2 linked regions of the Struthio camelus genome follow. The protein of the gene in region 1 purifies or fractionates together with the protein of each later gene. This does not show direct contact. Links are inferred from orthologs where the notes say so. Each region holds a gene or a part of one and is shown in the gene's direction. Other genes may lie near its edges.

What was found.
Region 2: the proteins of KCMF1 (region 1) and ABHD10 purify together in Homo sapiens (affinity purification with mass spectrometry; 3 studies listed by BioGRID and IntAct, counting the BioPlex papers as one, with this or other methods). This does not show direct contact. The link is inferred for Struthio camelus from reciprocal best matches to the Homo sapiens genes KCMF1 and ABHD10.

What each region holds. Positions count from the first base shown.
Region 1 is NC_090981.1:8,344,745-8,352,064, forward strand, and holds the start of KCMF1 (E3 ubiquitin-protein ligase KCMF1), read left to right. Parts: upstream 1-4,299; 5' UTR 4,300-4,502; coding exon 4,503-4,518; intron 4,519-7,320. UniProt on the Homo sapiens protein: E3 ubiquitin-protein ligase which accepts ubiquitin from an E2 ubiquitin-conjugating enzyme and then transfers it to targeted substrates, promoting their degradation by the proteasome.
Region 2 is NC_090942.1:102,380,924-102,388,183, forward strand, and holds the start of ABHD10 (palmitoyl-protein thioesterase ABHD10, mitochondrial), read left to right. Parts: upstream 1-4,181; 5' UTR 4,182-4,232; coding exon 4,233-4,368; intron 4,369-7,260. Other genes in the region: PHLDB2 (pleckstrin homology-like domain family B member 2), read left to right, coding at 1-19, 790-930. UniProt on the Homo sapiens protein: Acts as an acyl-protein thioesterase that hydrolyzes fatty acids from acylated residues in proteins.

The sequences.
Region 1 (7,320 bases):
CTAACCGGAACAAAAACAAACTAATTCTTCCTGTTTATTCCCCATCCTGCATGCATTTGTGTACAGACACTTCAGAGAGGTACTCAAGCATGATGATTTCCCAGAAAGGCAACAAGAGGTTTCCCCAGAGTCTTTTCTTGTAGGTACTTCCTTTCCTGCATGCACTTGCTGGAGGTATCCCTGCTTGAGCCCTGTTTCGCTGACTGCATGGTCTCTATAACTCTCCCCTTCCCCCATCTCTCCTAGTTTAAAGCCCTCCTTACCAGGTTGGCCAGCCTGTTGGCGGAGATGCATATGCCCCATTTGGTGAGGTGGGTCCCATCTCTCCCACTCAGTTGTTGATCTTCAAACACAGTCCCGTGGTCATAGAAACCAAAACCCTGGTGCCAACACCAGCTGCGCAGCCAGTTGTTTACTTGGAGAATCCATCTACTCCTCCTCCCATCCTTCCCCCTCGCTGGCAAGATTGAGGAAAAAAATGACCAAGGCCCCCAGACCCCTGACCTCCACCCCCAGAGCTCTATAGTCACATTTAATACTTTCCAAGTTGCCCTTGGCAATATCCTTGGTGCTCACGTGAAAGAGCAGCAGAGGGTAATAGTTGGATGTGTAGACAAGCCTCGGCAGTCTTCCCATGACATCTCAGATTTGAGCCCCTGGCAGGCAGCAAACCTCTCTAGACAAGAGGTCAGGTCAGCAGACAGGTGCTTCTGTCCCCTGCAGCAGGGAGTCACCCACATCACCCACTCTACGCTTCTTCCAGGTGTTCATGTGTGGCATAGGATCTGTCAGCCTGGTCACTTGAAGCCATACCCAGCTCCTCCTCAGCTTGGAAGGCACTGAACCTGTTCATCAACTGCAAGTCTTCAGGAGGAGCAAGAGCCTCTCTCCTCATACAAGGGGTGACCAGTTTGCAGCCTTCATCTCCTACAGACTTATGACTTACCGTTCCACATGGCACAGAGCCCACCTGCACCTCCACTGCTGTGGGGGATTGAGACTCCTGAAGCTGTAAGGTCTCTGAGAATATCCTATCTATCTCTCGCTCATCTTCACGGATGCTACGCAGCCTGCTGACTTCCTCCCATAACTCCTTTACCTGGTGACACAACTCATCAACAACAGCATACCTTCTGCAGGAGAGCTGACTGTCAGCCCCAGCCTCACAGAGAGCCTCCAGGCACTCCCTGTAGCCTGAGACCTGCAGAGCTGCATCCACTGTCAAAAGGTCTGTCTGGGTAGAAGCCTCTGACATGGCAAACACAGCAACTCCAGCAGCTACTGGGGAAATGTGCTCCATAGCATATCATAACCATATCTGAGGAAATGTATGCTACTATGACTGGAGATGAAGGCACCTTCTTTACACCCTTCTGCATAAACTGCTGCATCTGCTCACTGCACTCTAGGCCTGGCTCTTATATAGGCCTCTGCCTAGCACTGACTCACAGGGCCAGCTGGAACAAAGGCCCCAACTCCCTCTGATCAGGGGCAACCAACAGAGCTTGTTAGCAGCAGCTACACCTAGCTAGAGCTTCCCAGGAGAAGTTAAGGCCTCCTGCAGTTGTCCTTGCCTAGCTCTTCCCTGTCAGCAGTAAGCACCATCTAGTTCCTCAGAGGGTCCCCAGAAAGCCCCCACAACCTCCAACAAGGTTCTCAGAGGTTCTAAGCAGAGCCCAGACGCTGCTGCGCAAACTGCTGCCTCTGTTAGCTGTGCTCTGGAAAAGAGGCTACAAATTCTGCTTGGCTGCCCCAGGCATCAGAGCTGCTAAGGAGCTGTGCTCACCAGTGTGTGCTGGACGTGGATTTAACAACTGAAGCACAGAGAGATGAGATGATTAGCCCAAGGTCTTGCAAGGACAGAAACAAGAACTGAATCCAAATCTTCTGAGTCCCAGTGAAATGCCTGGGCTGCAGGACTGTTTTTTTTTGTCTAACCAGATATGCAGAGGAGCTCTCATGGGAAGCCAGTCTGCCAGGAATATGATGAAACAAAGCATAGGTCAAAATAGTAGTGTAGTGCTCAAAGTGGGGGCATAGTTACATATACCAGGAACCACAGCCTCACACGAAGACAAGATATTGCTGATCACCTGAGGCAATAAGTTCTGAGACAGCTTGCTACAGAGCCTTTCTAAGGACTGAGGAGGAGCATCAACCAAGAACTGTTGATGATTTGTATTTTGCCTCTGGATGAGACAGCTACCATTTGCATTTAAAAATGGTAGTGCTGAAAATAAGCAGTAGGACATGCTGCATTACACATTGTCCCACTCTGTGCACTGTTGCTATGTAACACCAGCAGAGACATGCAAAGCTTTGGCCTCCAGCACTATCCTGGATCTACCCCTTTCACAGTTTTATAGTGAGTTTTCTCATAGTTGTGGATTTCTCTTTAGTTTCTTATCTATTGCATGTTTCTTGCAAACTTTTTGCCCTCCACAATGATGCCCTCCTATTGCTTTCAACGGTAGCAAAGCTACTGGCTGCCCTCACTCAAAACGGCCCTCAATTTCCCTTACAACTCCTCCATGTGTAGATATAGCTGCTGCTGCTAATGAAAATAGTCACCACCCACTGCTGTTTTCAAAGAGACTGGGCCTAGGTTATTCCCTCACTAGGCATCGGGGTTAAGAAACTGCAAGAGATGGAAGAGAAGTGATGGAAGGCAAGCAGGACTAGACAAAGCATAGAGGAAAGCAGTGTGTACACATGGGGGGGAGAGGCAGAGGCATAATATGATTAGCATGGGATGCAGTGCAAAGAATGAAATGGGGCACCTCATCCTGCCAATCATTAGTGTTTGCTCTTGCCTTATCTTTGCAGCTTGGTGTTTGGGTCCTTCTGGCCTGTGGGTTCTTGTGGCCTTCCAGACTGATGAGAAGGAGAACAAGGGTACAAGAACTGTGGGAGTAAGACATCTGAGGTTGTAGCATGATGTGAGGTACAGAAGGGAAACTGAGGAAAGGTTGTAAAGCTATTCAGAGAAAGATGTAATTGGGGAGAAGAGGACAAGGAGAGAGGAAGACTGAGCCCTTAATAGGCAAAAGAAAAAAAAGGAAGATGATGGAGAGCATGAGGGGGTTGGATTGGTGGTGATAAAGAAAACAGAGGGACAGGAGCAGAATAAGAGATGAAAACACAGGGGTAGAAGAAAATGAAGACAGGTGGGGACAGCTTGGATGGGAAAGGTGGGGGAGACTGAGTCAGAAGAAAATATGGGGAAAGGTACTTTTTAAAATAAATAGCTGACTAATGATTCTCCACCCTCCTGTGACACCAGGGCTTATTTTGCTGCCCGGCCTAGTAGGCAAACAGGCTGCAAGGCTCAGGCAGGAGCTTGACTGAGGTGGATTGTTTGATAGGTGTTTCACCTTTACAGTTTCTTCTCCAGACCAATGCCTTTTTCTGCAAAAGACAAAAAATTGCAGGGAAGGCAAACAGAATTCTGCAAGTCACAGACTTTTTGCTTCTTCATCATTCTGTATAAGGTTCTGTATAATACAGTCAGGCATCCGGGACAGGACAGGAAGCATTAGGCACATGTCACACTCAGTGCTGCTTGCTGCACCTCCCCGAATTAGAGGGGGTTTTGCAAGCCACACTGAGGAGGAGTGATAATAGGAAGTATCGCGAACCACCGGGCTGAACTCTCCTCCCTCAAGGCTGCTGCCACTCCTCACTCCCTAGCCTCCTCAGTAGGGAACGAGGAGGGAGGTCTCCGTGCACCCGCAAAGGTGCAGCCCCATCGCTACAGCAGCATGGTCTACTACAACAATCGGGGACTCGTCCCCTCCCCCTTCCGCAACACGCGGGCAACTGTCACAGGCTGGAATGGTGGAGGAGGCTGCGTCTTAGGAGAATGCCTAGAGACAGCAGTCTCTTCCAGTTTGGAGGGACAGGGAAGGGCCACCATCCAGTTTATGGGGGCTCCGCTCGGCTCCGCGGCGCTCTCCGTGTTGGGTGGTGACGGTCCCCCTTTCCCTTGGCTGTGTACTTCCTCTTCCTTCCTGCATGAAGCAGCTACTGGGCGGAAAAGGAACGGGGGAAAAAAATGGGTGGAGAAAGAAAGGAATCGCGAGGTCTTGAGCCGACGTGGGGGTTAGAGCTAAGAAGCACAAGAAGGAGTTAGTGTTCTTTCTATAGCAGCAGGAGAAGAAACAGAGGTGGGGACTCAGGAAGAAGAAGAAAGGGGGGGTGTAGAGGAAAGCGGCGGAAGAGGAAGGCGGCACTAGGAGCCGGCGGGGCTTAAGAGCCACCGTATCAGGGTGCCTAGGAAGTCGTTGCTGCTGGATCCGCCCCCCAGAGGGAGGGAGAAAAAGTGAGGCAGGCTGGGGCTGTTGGAGTAGATTCCTTTTTGCTCCCCCCCCCCCCTTTCTATTGCTTGCTCGTTTCGCGCCTGGGGCTTAGTGCGTACGGCGGGAGGGGCCCAGGCTGGAGCATCGCCTGAACAGCCCAGCAGGAGCCTGGGGACGGGCTTCGGCTGCAGCCTCTGAACTAGGATGTCCCGACATGAAGGTGAGAGATTTAAGGCCGCGGGGGGGAGGGGCCTTTGGGCCTGGTCCGGTGTTAGGGCCTGGCATATCACTGTGTGAGATGGGGTCAACATGGCGGCGTCGCCGCTAATGAGAGTGGGGCCTAGGGAGCTGGTGGCGGAAAGTGGCCATGGTGGGAGGAGGAAGGCGGCGGCCAGGCCCCGCTTTGCAGTGTCATGGGAGGGGAGGTGGCAGCCGTGTCCGTTACGGGCAGGCCCGAGCCCTTTCTCTATCGCCACTAAGCGCGCACACCAGGCCTGCGGTTGCCAAGGCGGGGGGGCCTACTGTGGTTTGAGGTGGGCCCGGCCTCTGCCACCCCTCACTGGCTTGTGGCTCGGGCCTTGCTCCACCCCGCACAAGGAGCGTGTCCGAGGTGGATGATAGAGAGGAGGAGGAGAAGACAGGAGAGTTGTTTATTTTTGTTCCTCTTCCTTCACAACTTGAAGTATGGGAAGAGAGAGAGAGGTGAGGAGGCCCTACCCAGGTGTGTGGGGTGCCCCTTCTCTTAGGATTGGCCCTGTAGGGGGTGGAGGAAGGACGTGGGTGGGCCTGGGGGAAATCTGTAAGGGGTGGGTTTGGGGGGGGGGGAAGGAAGGAGGAGGGTGCAAGATGTGTAGGAGTGTTGGGGGGGAGGTCAGTGTCAAAGCTGTGAGTTGTGAATAGTTTGGTGAGAAGGGGCACAGGAGGGGAAAGGAGGCTTGGCATGATGTGCCCCCTTTGAGGGGAGTACCCCTAAGTTTCTTAGGATGGGGAGGAGGAAAAGGGATTATGGGACATGATATGTAGGGAGAGCAGTGCTTGAGGGGAGGTGGTGCAGGGAGGGTGGCCTGGCATCCAGGAGAATTGAACTGGAGTGGGAAGGTTTGTTCAGTATAATGGAGGTGGAGGTTTTGCATGGCAGGTGGAGAAGAAACTCATGTATGTAATCAGGCTGTGATGTTGGGTTTGGGAAGAAAAAAAGTTTACCTAGTTCTTGTGGTCTTGCTTAGGTGTACTTTATATTTTGGTAGATCGAGAAGATCGAGAACTTTTTTTTTTTTTTTTTCCTAATGAATTTTGTATTTCAAAAGAGGAAATGAATGCTGATGTAGCATATTTTGTAGCATTAAGAGAGGTCATAATACAAATATATTTTATGTTTGCCCTTGTTCTTCTGTGTTCTTTGCTATGGGTGAGTTAAGTGGATAGTTGAGGATTAATCAAAAAGAGCAGTGAGAAGAATGGAGAGAAAGCTGAAAGTGAAGAGGGAATTTATGTAGAAAGAAGAGAGCGTGATATAAAGGAAGTTGTTTGTTTTTCTACCTATTCTTACTGAAAGATGAGGTAGTTAGGCTAATATTGAATATTTAATAGAAGCTCTGCCTTGTCTCATTAAATGATAAAGTTTTGCCATGTTAGTAACTAAATTTAGCATCTGTCTCTATAAATGATCTTCATTTTCCTAGAGCTGTGAAAATTATTTATTTAAAGAAGTGGAGACAGCTTTCAAAACGTTTGAAGATTAGATAAAGATATGTGCTAGAAGAATTCAGTGCTTGGGAGTAATATTATTAACTTCTAGATGGTGGGTTGGTAGCTTGGTGGTGGACTAAAGCAAGTATGATGGATGTTCAGTGTGTAGCTACAGTATTTTGCGTTTTGTTAGTGTGTATGTGTATATGTGTGCTTGCTTAGCTAAGAACAGTCTTGCCTGAATCCTCTAACACTTTTTTTCTTCTTCTATAGTAAAGGTATAACCAATCCTCTTGGTTCTTTTTTGATTAGAATGCTGCTTGCCTTTTTTATTATTTTATTTTATCTTTTTTTTATTAGAAGGTGGGGTTGCTGGATTTGTAAGCAGATAATGAGGTAAATGATAATAAGTGAGTAAAATGAGGGTTAATAAAGTTTTTGTTTGTGGTTTTATTGGAAAATGTACTCTGTAAATTGCTGCTGTGATAGCTATCCATAGTATGCAATTTAAAATATGATGATAGGATATAAACTTCTTAGATTGCACTGGTTAAAACCACAAAAATGGTATGATATGTTGTTCTTTAACTGTTCAGTGTTAATTCTTAAAGTCTACAACCTGCTGTTATAAATGGTTATATTTAGTAAAAAATATTTTGGTCTTGAAGTAGTGTTTTAATAAAGAAGAATTTTGCAAATGGATTTCTTTTTAAATGTGTTCCTCATAGAGGTTATATTTTGAAATTTTTCTAGTGGACATTAGATTTTGTTTGTAGTGGGGAAAATCGTGTTATTTCCGCGCTTGGATTTTTGCTGATGAATAGAAAAAGTGAGAAAAAACACTAAGCTTGGTTTTGTTAAAAATGAGAAGCAGGTATATGAGTGTGTGTTCTTTGAAGTTGCACTTTCCTTTAGAAATGGAAATAGCTATCTTCTAATAAGCTGTTGGTGAGTGTGAGGTTTTGGTAACTGTACATTGTCAATGCAAACATCTTCAAGTATGTTTTTAAAAAAAAAACCCGCAAGATATAAAGCTGCAGCAATGATTGTACTTTGATAGATGTTTAGAGGAGCCTGGTTTGTCTTTAGTTTTCTTAATCATTTTCTTTTACTCACCTTTTAACATGCTTTAAGTCTTAATTTTAGATTAGTTATGGGGTTAGAGTAAGTTGTCTTGATATAGGAATGGGTTTTTGCAGGGGGTGTTTTTGGAGTTTTGGGTTGGGGGGGGGTTAAGGGATGATGTTTTGTTTTGTTCCTCCAACCTGGATCAGATACTTGGTTTGTGTTAGAAGTATGGAAGTCCTTAAAACTGAAATATTCCCAAAAAGTA
Region 2 (7,260 bases), on another chromosome or scaffold:
TCTAAAGAATGCATATAAGGTAATGTTTGTTACTGTTGTTTTAAAACTGAGTATTGTATGGCACCCAAAGTGCAGTAGTAGCCTTTGTAAATACAAAGGGAGAGTTGACAATATAAAAAACCTAACACATGAACAGGGTGGAGGAAAAAGATGAAGCCAGACCACTGATAAGCATTATTCTTTTATATCAGTGCAAATAGAGAGATAGAGGAGAGAGAGAGTGAGTGTCTGTGTGCCAAGTGATAGTTCCTCATGGGATCTGCTGGAGGAATTCGTTAGCCCTACTCTTGGCTAGACCACTGAATTCAGTGGCTTTGGCAAATCAAGAGATGGCAGTGTGAGCCTATCATAGGGAGGGAGTTAACTGGTACCTGCAGCTGATGGCATCCCCTTGCCTCACATCTATCCTTTAGAAGAGCTGTGAACTCTCTGAACTTATCCTTGGCACCTGGACTTGTTTCAGCCATAGTGCTTTTGGCCTCTGGATGGGATACCTAGGGAATTCGTTGTTTGTACATGAAGCAACTGTTGGGAGCCCTGTACTGCTGTATAATAATCAAGAGTGGAAATATGTCATAAAAAAGTGTTTGTGCTGGATGCAAGCACTTTAAACAGATCTCTGCTTCCAGGACTGCAACGTAGGATGGCAGTGCTCAGCATTTTGCATTGCATCTTTCTCCTTAACCCTGTGCTAAATCTCCCTGTAAATAATTGTACTTATGGTGCCAATTCATTGGCACCATTTTCATTCTTTTGATATCCTTCTTTCTTCTTTTTGTTTTATTTTAGAGTCCCAATCCACTACTCACTTTCAGTGTTAAGACACATGACCGGATATACTATATGGTTGCTCCAACGCCAGAAGCCATGAGAATATGGATGGATGTTATTGTTACAGGCGCAGAAGGCTACACCCACTTCATGTTATAATAAAATGGGGCAATAGGGCATATTGCAATAACCTAACATATGAAGTTAGCCATATGTAGTAAAATCCGAAAAGCCACATACATTGCTGGTGAATGCTCAGAAATACCCTCCTTATGATGTGCACCCAAAACGTCAGAATGAAAGGGTTTTATAAATGCACTGAAAAGGAGGACCTGTTGCTTATTTTAGTTGATCTGTATAGGAGCAAAAGAGCTAAAGCTGTTCAGTCATAGTGCTCTGAAATGGATAATCAGGCAGTTTGAATGACAGCATCTTAATTCAATGATAGTTTTGTAAAAATTCTCCTATACAGAGAATGTCTTCATAAACTCATACTAAACAGTTTACAAATGTGCGTGTTCTCATCTGTATGCAACAATTCTAGTAATGGAACAAAAAGGTATAATAGCATATATTTTAATATGCAACATTTGACATTTATAGATGATTAGCTGACTTTTTAAAACTCTTTTAGTCAAGTATTTTATAAAACAAAAAGAAAAAAAAAAGGAAACCTAAGGTACACACACTTGCCTTAGTAGTTAAGCATTACAACAGAGCCAAAGAGTTATACAGTTCCCCTATCATAATGTTTTTCTTTTTCAAATTGTTAGTTGTACTTTAGCTTTCTGTAATAGGACAGTGCCAAAACTCTTCCTGACTTTTAACATAATTAAATTGTTAAAATATTCTGTATAGTCAAATAACCCAGTTGCACCAACTGGATATTTTGGATATTTAAAGTCTGCATCTGTGGAGCTCAACAAAAAAAAAAAAAAAGCGGATAGCTTTATAAAGATGGATTTTTTTCCACAAGGTGATATTTAAAAAAAAAAAAAAAAAAGGAAACTGACATTAGAAGGAAACTTTATCGTAAGGAGGTGTTTTCTTAAACTGCCTTGTTGAGTAAATTGCGCTGGATCTTACACCAATTTTCTTTTGATGTAGTCAGGTCCCAGAATGGTTCTAATCTTACTGTGTGCCAAGTGAACGCTCTACTCAGATGTCTCAGATACTGGTCCCTGTGAGGCCCGTGTCAAAATTCACTGAAGCCAAGATTTCAGTCTAGAATATTTGTTTTTTATATGCATGTCTGTACAAAGTAATGCTGTCACATAGAATGCAAATAAAGAGGCAAGTTCTAAGAGTTTACACTAAGCAGTGTATAAAAAAAAAAAAAAAAAAGAAAAAACCCAAAGTTTTAAGTAACTGAAATCTGAAGATACAGTGGTCCCCCATTTTAAAACTACTTTCAGGTCCTTGACAAATGTTGCAAAAACATAGAAGTATTTAATGGAACTGAATTTCAAGAAAGTCTCATATATTACGACTTTAACGAGGTCCTCATTCCAGTAAGTAAGAGTTGTATGTGCTATGTGGTTTGTGTAAGTAAAGCAAGCCCATCAGACATTTTCCCTTAATGAAAAGTTAATGGCTTTTGATGGAGCAAATTAAAAACTGAAAGCAGAAAACAAAATAGGCTGACAGTATTTTTATTGTACTTTTAAAACCCTGTATCTGTAATGAACGGGTATTAATTTTTTGTGGTATACACAGGTGACATGGTTGGTCTAGCATGATGTACACCACTTGTGACTTGAATCATGAAAGAAGGGACAGTTATCATCTGTGCAGATCACCATAAGACGCTTGTAATCTAACGATTTAAAGCACTATCAGAAATTAATTGCTTTGGTTTATATAATTATTATTGTTCCCTGATGTATCTTGATTTTACTTATAAGTATGGTTTTCTAATCATGATTTTTGTATCCTGCATGATGCAATGAAGGCATTTCAGTAAATGTTTTTAAAAATACGTGTGTTTTAAATATTCACCTCATTCTTCATTTTGAGATTTTTCTGCTTTTCTTTTAAACAATTTTGCATACACTTGTGTAAGCAGTTTTGTCTTTCTCAGTAATAATTATTCTAGCCATTCCTTTTTTTTCCTCAGAAAAGAGCAACAAAAAATAATACTTCAGGAATGGCAGTGAAATTAGGAGCATAGTCTGTTTATTGCATATACATAACTTACCGATTTTTACAATCCACCCAGTTTGAAAATTGTAAATCAACAGCCCTGGAAACTTTTTGTTTAACTACAAAATAGAAATTGCTGTATCTCACGATTTTCACAGTTTGGCTAATATTTTGTTTTGATTGTGACCCTGACGGCAGGCGATAGCAGCGCCCTCCTCATAGGAGCCCATGCAGTTTGTGCCTCCTTCAGGAGGATTTCCGTTGCCATCACACACACGCAGAGGGGTGGGTTTTGCACTGGTGCACATCAAGACGGAGTAACCTACGCAGTTTTGCCATGTACCATGTTAAGCCAAGAGCGGTAGGCTCCATCTCCCACGATCAGCCAGCGAGCCCAGCAAGCTTGCCTGCGGGGCAGTCGGGTGCCTCCTTTACCTTCGAGCATGCCGGGATGGGGCATTTACAAAACACCGGGGCTGTATCCAGCAGCTTCCACCGCTGGTGGGTTGGTAGGTGCGTTGCTGGCCCTTTCACGCAGGGACATGGCTGGCACTTCCATGAGGGAACACCCTTGGCCCTGTGGGCGCTGACTTCTCTTAGCGTTATTTCCTTTCTTTTCGGGTGCCCGCCGTGGCCGGTATATAAAAGGTACAGGGGGTCAAGAGCTGTTCGAAGTAAAACCATGTTTTGGCAACCTTGGCCTTTATTTGCATGGACGAGTACTGGCGGGGGAAACGGTAGCTGAGGATCAGTTACTTAGAAGGGCCGGTAGGTGGAGAAATTGTTAAGCGCTAACGCTGCCAGACGGGCGACCGAGGGAGGGAGGAACGGGTCTTGAACGATCCTTTCTGGCCGCGCCTGTAAGAGCCACGTAGTTACATGCAACAAAATGTCTTAGGCCCACGTATCTAGAGAATACCTGAAATACTCGACTTTTTTAGACTGGGTCTTACGAGCCCTTAAACAGAGAGGCCTCTGCCGACGATCACCCCTCGGGAACACATCGCCTCTAAGGCAACAACGCCCATGACGCGTTTGGGGTAAATTTTAGCTTTCCCTCCTCAACACCAGCCCTAACGGCCGCGGGAAGGCGGCAACGGCCGCGGGGGGCGGGGCACCCCCTGCCGCGCGGCCCCGCCCCTCCCCGGGCCGCCGCCAGCAGCGAGCAGCGAGAGCGCACGCGCGCCCCTTCCCGGCGGGCCCACGGTGGGCGGGGGCGCGCATGCGCGTGGCCTGCCTCTCCCCCACTACGGCGGGCGGCGCGTGCGCAGTGAGGCGCGTCCTCCGCCCGCCGCCGTGCGGGGCGTGCGTTGGCGGCCATGACGGCGGCTGCGGGCGCGGTGCGGGGGCTGCTGCGGGGCGGCGGCGGCGTTGCCGCCGCGGGCTGCCTGGGGCGGGGGGGCCGCCACGTCTCAGACCCCTTGCTGCCGCTGCAGGCTGCCCTGGGGCTCGCGGGTAAGGGAAGAGCCGCGGGAGGGCCCCTGCTGGTCTTCCTGAGCTGGCCCTCGGGCGCCGGGGGCGTCAGTCAGTCAGGTTGGGGGGCGGGGGAGGAATTAGATGTGTCACTGTCTGTCAGTCAGGCAGTCGGTAGGCTTAGGGAGGTCATCTCCCCCCCCATGCCCCCCCTCCCTCCCCAGCCGCCCTTCAGCGCGGTGGCCCGGCCGTTAAAGTCCGTTAGCGGCCGCGTGCCGGGTGCGCGTGGGCTGCCGCGCCCTTTGCCGCCTGAGGGGGAGGAGGCGCGGGGTGCCCGCCGGGACCGCGCGGGCCCGTGTGCGCGCTCGAGGGGCAGCTGCCTTCCCGCAGGGGTGTGTTCACGCCCTCCTGAGCGCCTGCTGCCGCTTTCGGCGGAGCTGGAAAACGGAGGAGGTGGCCCAGTTCGCTTGGCTGTGCGTGAAACGTGCCTAGGGGCGAGGCCGCGCCAGGCCGCTGAAAGGCTCTACCGGCCTCCGCTGTTGAGCAAAGTGCTTCGCCTGCCCAGACACAAGGCTGCTTTCTCGCTCTTCCAGACCCAGTGCTTGTCTAATTTGTGGAGTTTTTCCAGTTCCCTAAACTTGACAAAACTGTTCGCTTTTCTTACTGAGGGGGTGAACCTCCCCTGAGGCTACTGAAAGTAGTAGTGAATAAAAGTGTTTGCTGCTGCTAAGGGTGTGTGTTGTGTGTCTGCATAAAAATCTACTTGCAACGATTTTTCTTGCTTTTTTTTTTCCATTGAAGTTTAGAGGAAATGATTGTGATGTGATCAGAGCAGCTGATCGTTGAGTGTGCTGTCAGGTGCTCTGAGAGTGGGCTAAGCAGCAGTTCCCATTGGTGTCCTGGTGGCCTTTTTAACCCCGTAGCAACAGTGGTTGCATGAAGCAAAGTGTGGACAATGTAGAGTCTGTTATTTAGAAGAGCTGTGTTTGTCTGCTACTCCTCTTCACAGTCGGTAGGTTATAGAGCTTGAGCTTCCCAAGTTGTTCACAGCGTTTCTGTGGCTTTGGTTAAGGCTTCCACCTGTGCAGTTCTGGCCTCATTTGCGGTGGCTCTTGGTCATAACACAAATTTGCACAGTGTTTCTGGTATGAGAGAGTTCCATAGTATCAGACAAGGCTTCTGGGTCTTCCTGTGGCTGCCTTCTGCTGACCGTCGCTTGCAGTAATCTGCACCCTTCAGAAGTGCTTCCCTGATCTTACTGAGGTCTTTCAGTGAAATCAGGAGAAGAAATTGCTGGGTGGATGTTCAGTTATTAATGTTCTCGACTGATGTAAAGAGAAGTCTGAGAACATGGCTTATGTGAACTGTGCTTTCAGATTGGCTGGCTAGGGCATAGGCTTTAGTTTTTTGCATTATTCAGGTTAGGATTGCTGCCGGCGCGTTGACAGTATCAGTTGTCAAATGTACAAGACTAGTTTGTGGAGTAGCTTAGAAAGCAGTTGCCTTGTAGCTGCAGTTTAAAGCTTGCTCAGTGTCAGAGTTTGAAGGCACCCTCCAGAGCGCTGCAGAATGGAAACCTAAGCCCTGCAGAGGTGGTTAGGGTTTATGGAAGAGAACAATATTACTAATTCTTTCTCTCAAGTGTAGTGCTTTCTGGTGTATCAAATCTGTTGTTGGCGGGTGAAGGAGTGACTGACTTCCTGGCATAGACACAAACAAAAAGCTGTAGTGTGGACACGTCTCAATAAATAGACCTTTACTGTGATATTTATCTCCTTCATAATAATAGCAGCATTGGTAGAGTAAAAAACTGTTCCAATTTTTCAGGAAAGATTTATTGTTTTAAATCTGTAGATCAAATTTTTAGCTCTTATATTTTAACTGTTAGCATTCAGTGTTTTGTAATATTTAGCATCTTTTCTGTGTGCCCCTTTACTCATGCGTGTGCAAGTTAATACAAAAAGCTTGACTGTAATCTCTCTGATAGTGAGAAAACAGAACCCAAAGCTGCAGAACAGTTAAAAGGTGTAATACTGTCAAGGCCTGTTTTTGCAGAATCTAGCTACTGGTTATGTCCCCGGGGAGCCCTTGTCTTTCATTTTGGGTAGCATGGGCTTTGTACCCCGCTATTGATTTGCAGTATTCAAGAACAAATCCTCTTTTATTCTAAGAATTAAAAGTATCAAAGTCTTATCGGAAGTCTAGACCAAGCTTTCAGTTTAACAAATTATCTTGCGAAGTGGGATAATAGAGGGGATTAATTCTCACTAACACCTCTGTACAAATCACTTACCTTCACCCACAATAGACAGCTAAACTTAGATTAAATGTGATAACAGCCATTGAGATTCAGTGTAGTATTCATTAGTCATTATTGACTTTGATAATCCTTCTTCCTTGTTTGAAACCAGCTCAAATTTTTGATAGTTATTGGTATGAATAACAGAGTCCAACCTAATGTTTCTTTTCAAAATATGTCTGGTTTGCTGTCTTGAACTAAAACAACATAATTTCATAAGTTCTCGGTACACTGATATGAAACCTTCCCTTTCTTCTAATAATGTGTAGCAGATGACTTTGCCAGAAGTTGAGCCAAACCATCTTGCATTTTTAAAATATTTGCAAAATACTTAGATTTGCAAAGTGGTATATTTTATTCTAGATAAATGTGGAACAACATGAGCACTGGAATAATTTATCTACCCTAGCACGAATACCCATCAAACCGTGTGATAAGATGTCTGTGTCTGTTCAGGAGGTGATTAAAAAAATCACACATCTGCGAAGGTCAACTGTGTTTCTTCTTATGGGATGTGTTTAATTACGTTACTCTGTATTTACAGAAATTACAAGTTTTTTTTTTTTTTTTTATCTTCTGTGATTCATGTCTGGGAAAAAGACTGATGTTAAGGTGGCATATGTTAAATAATTTGA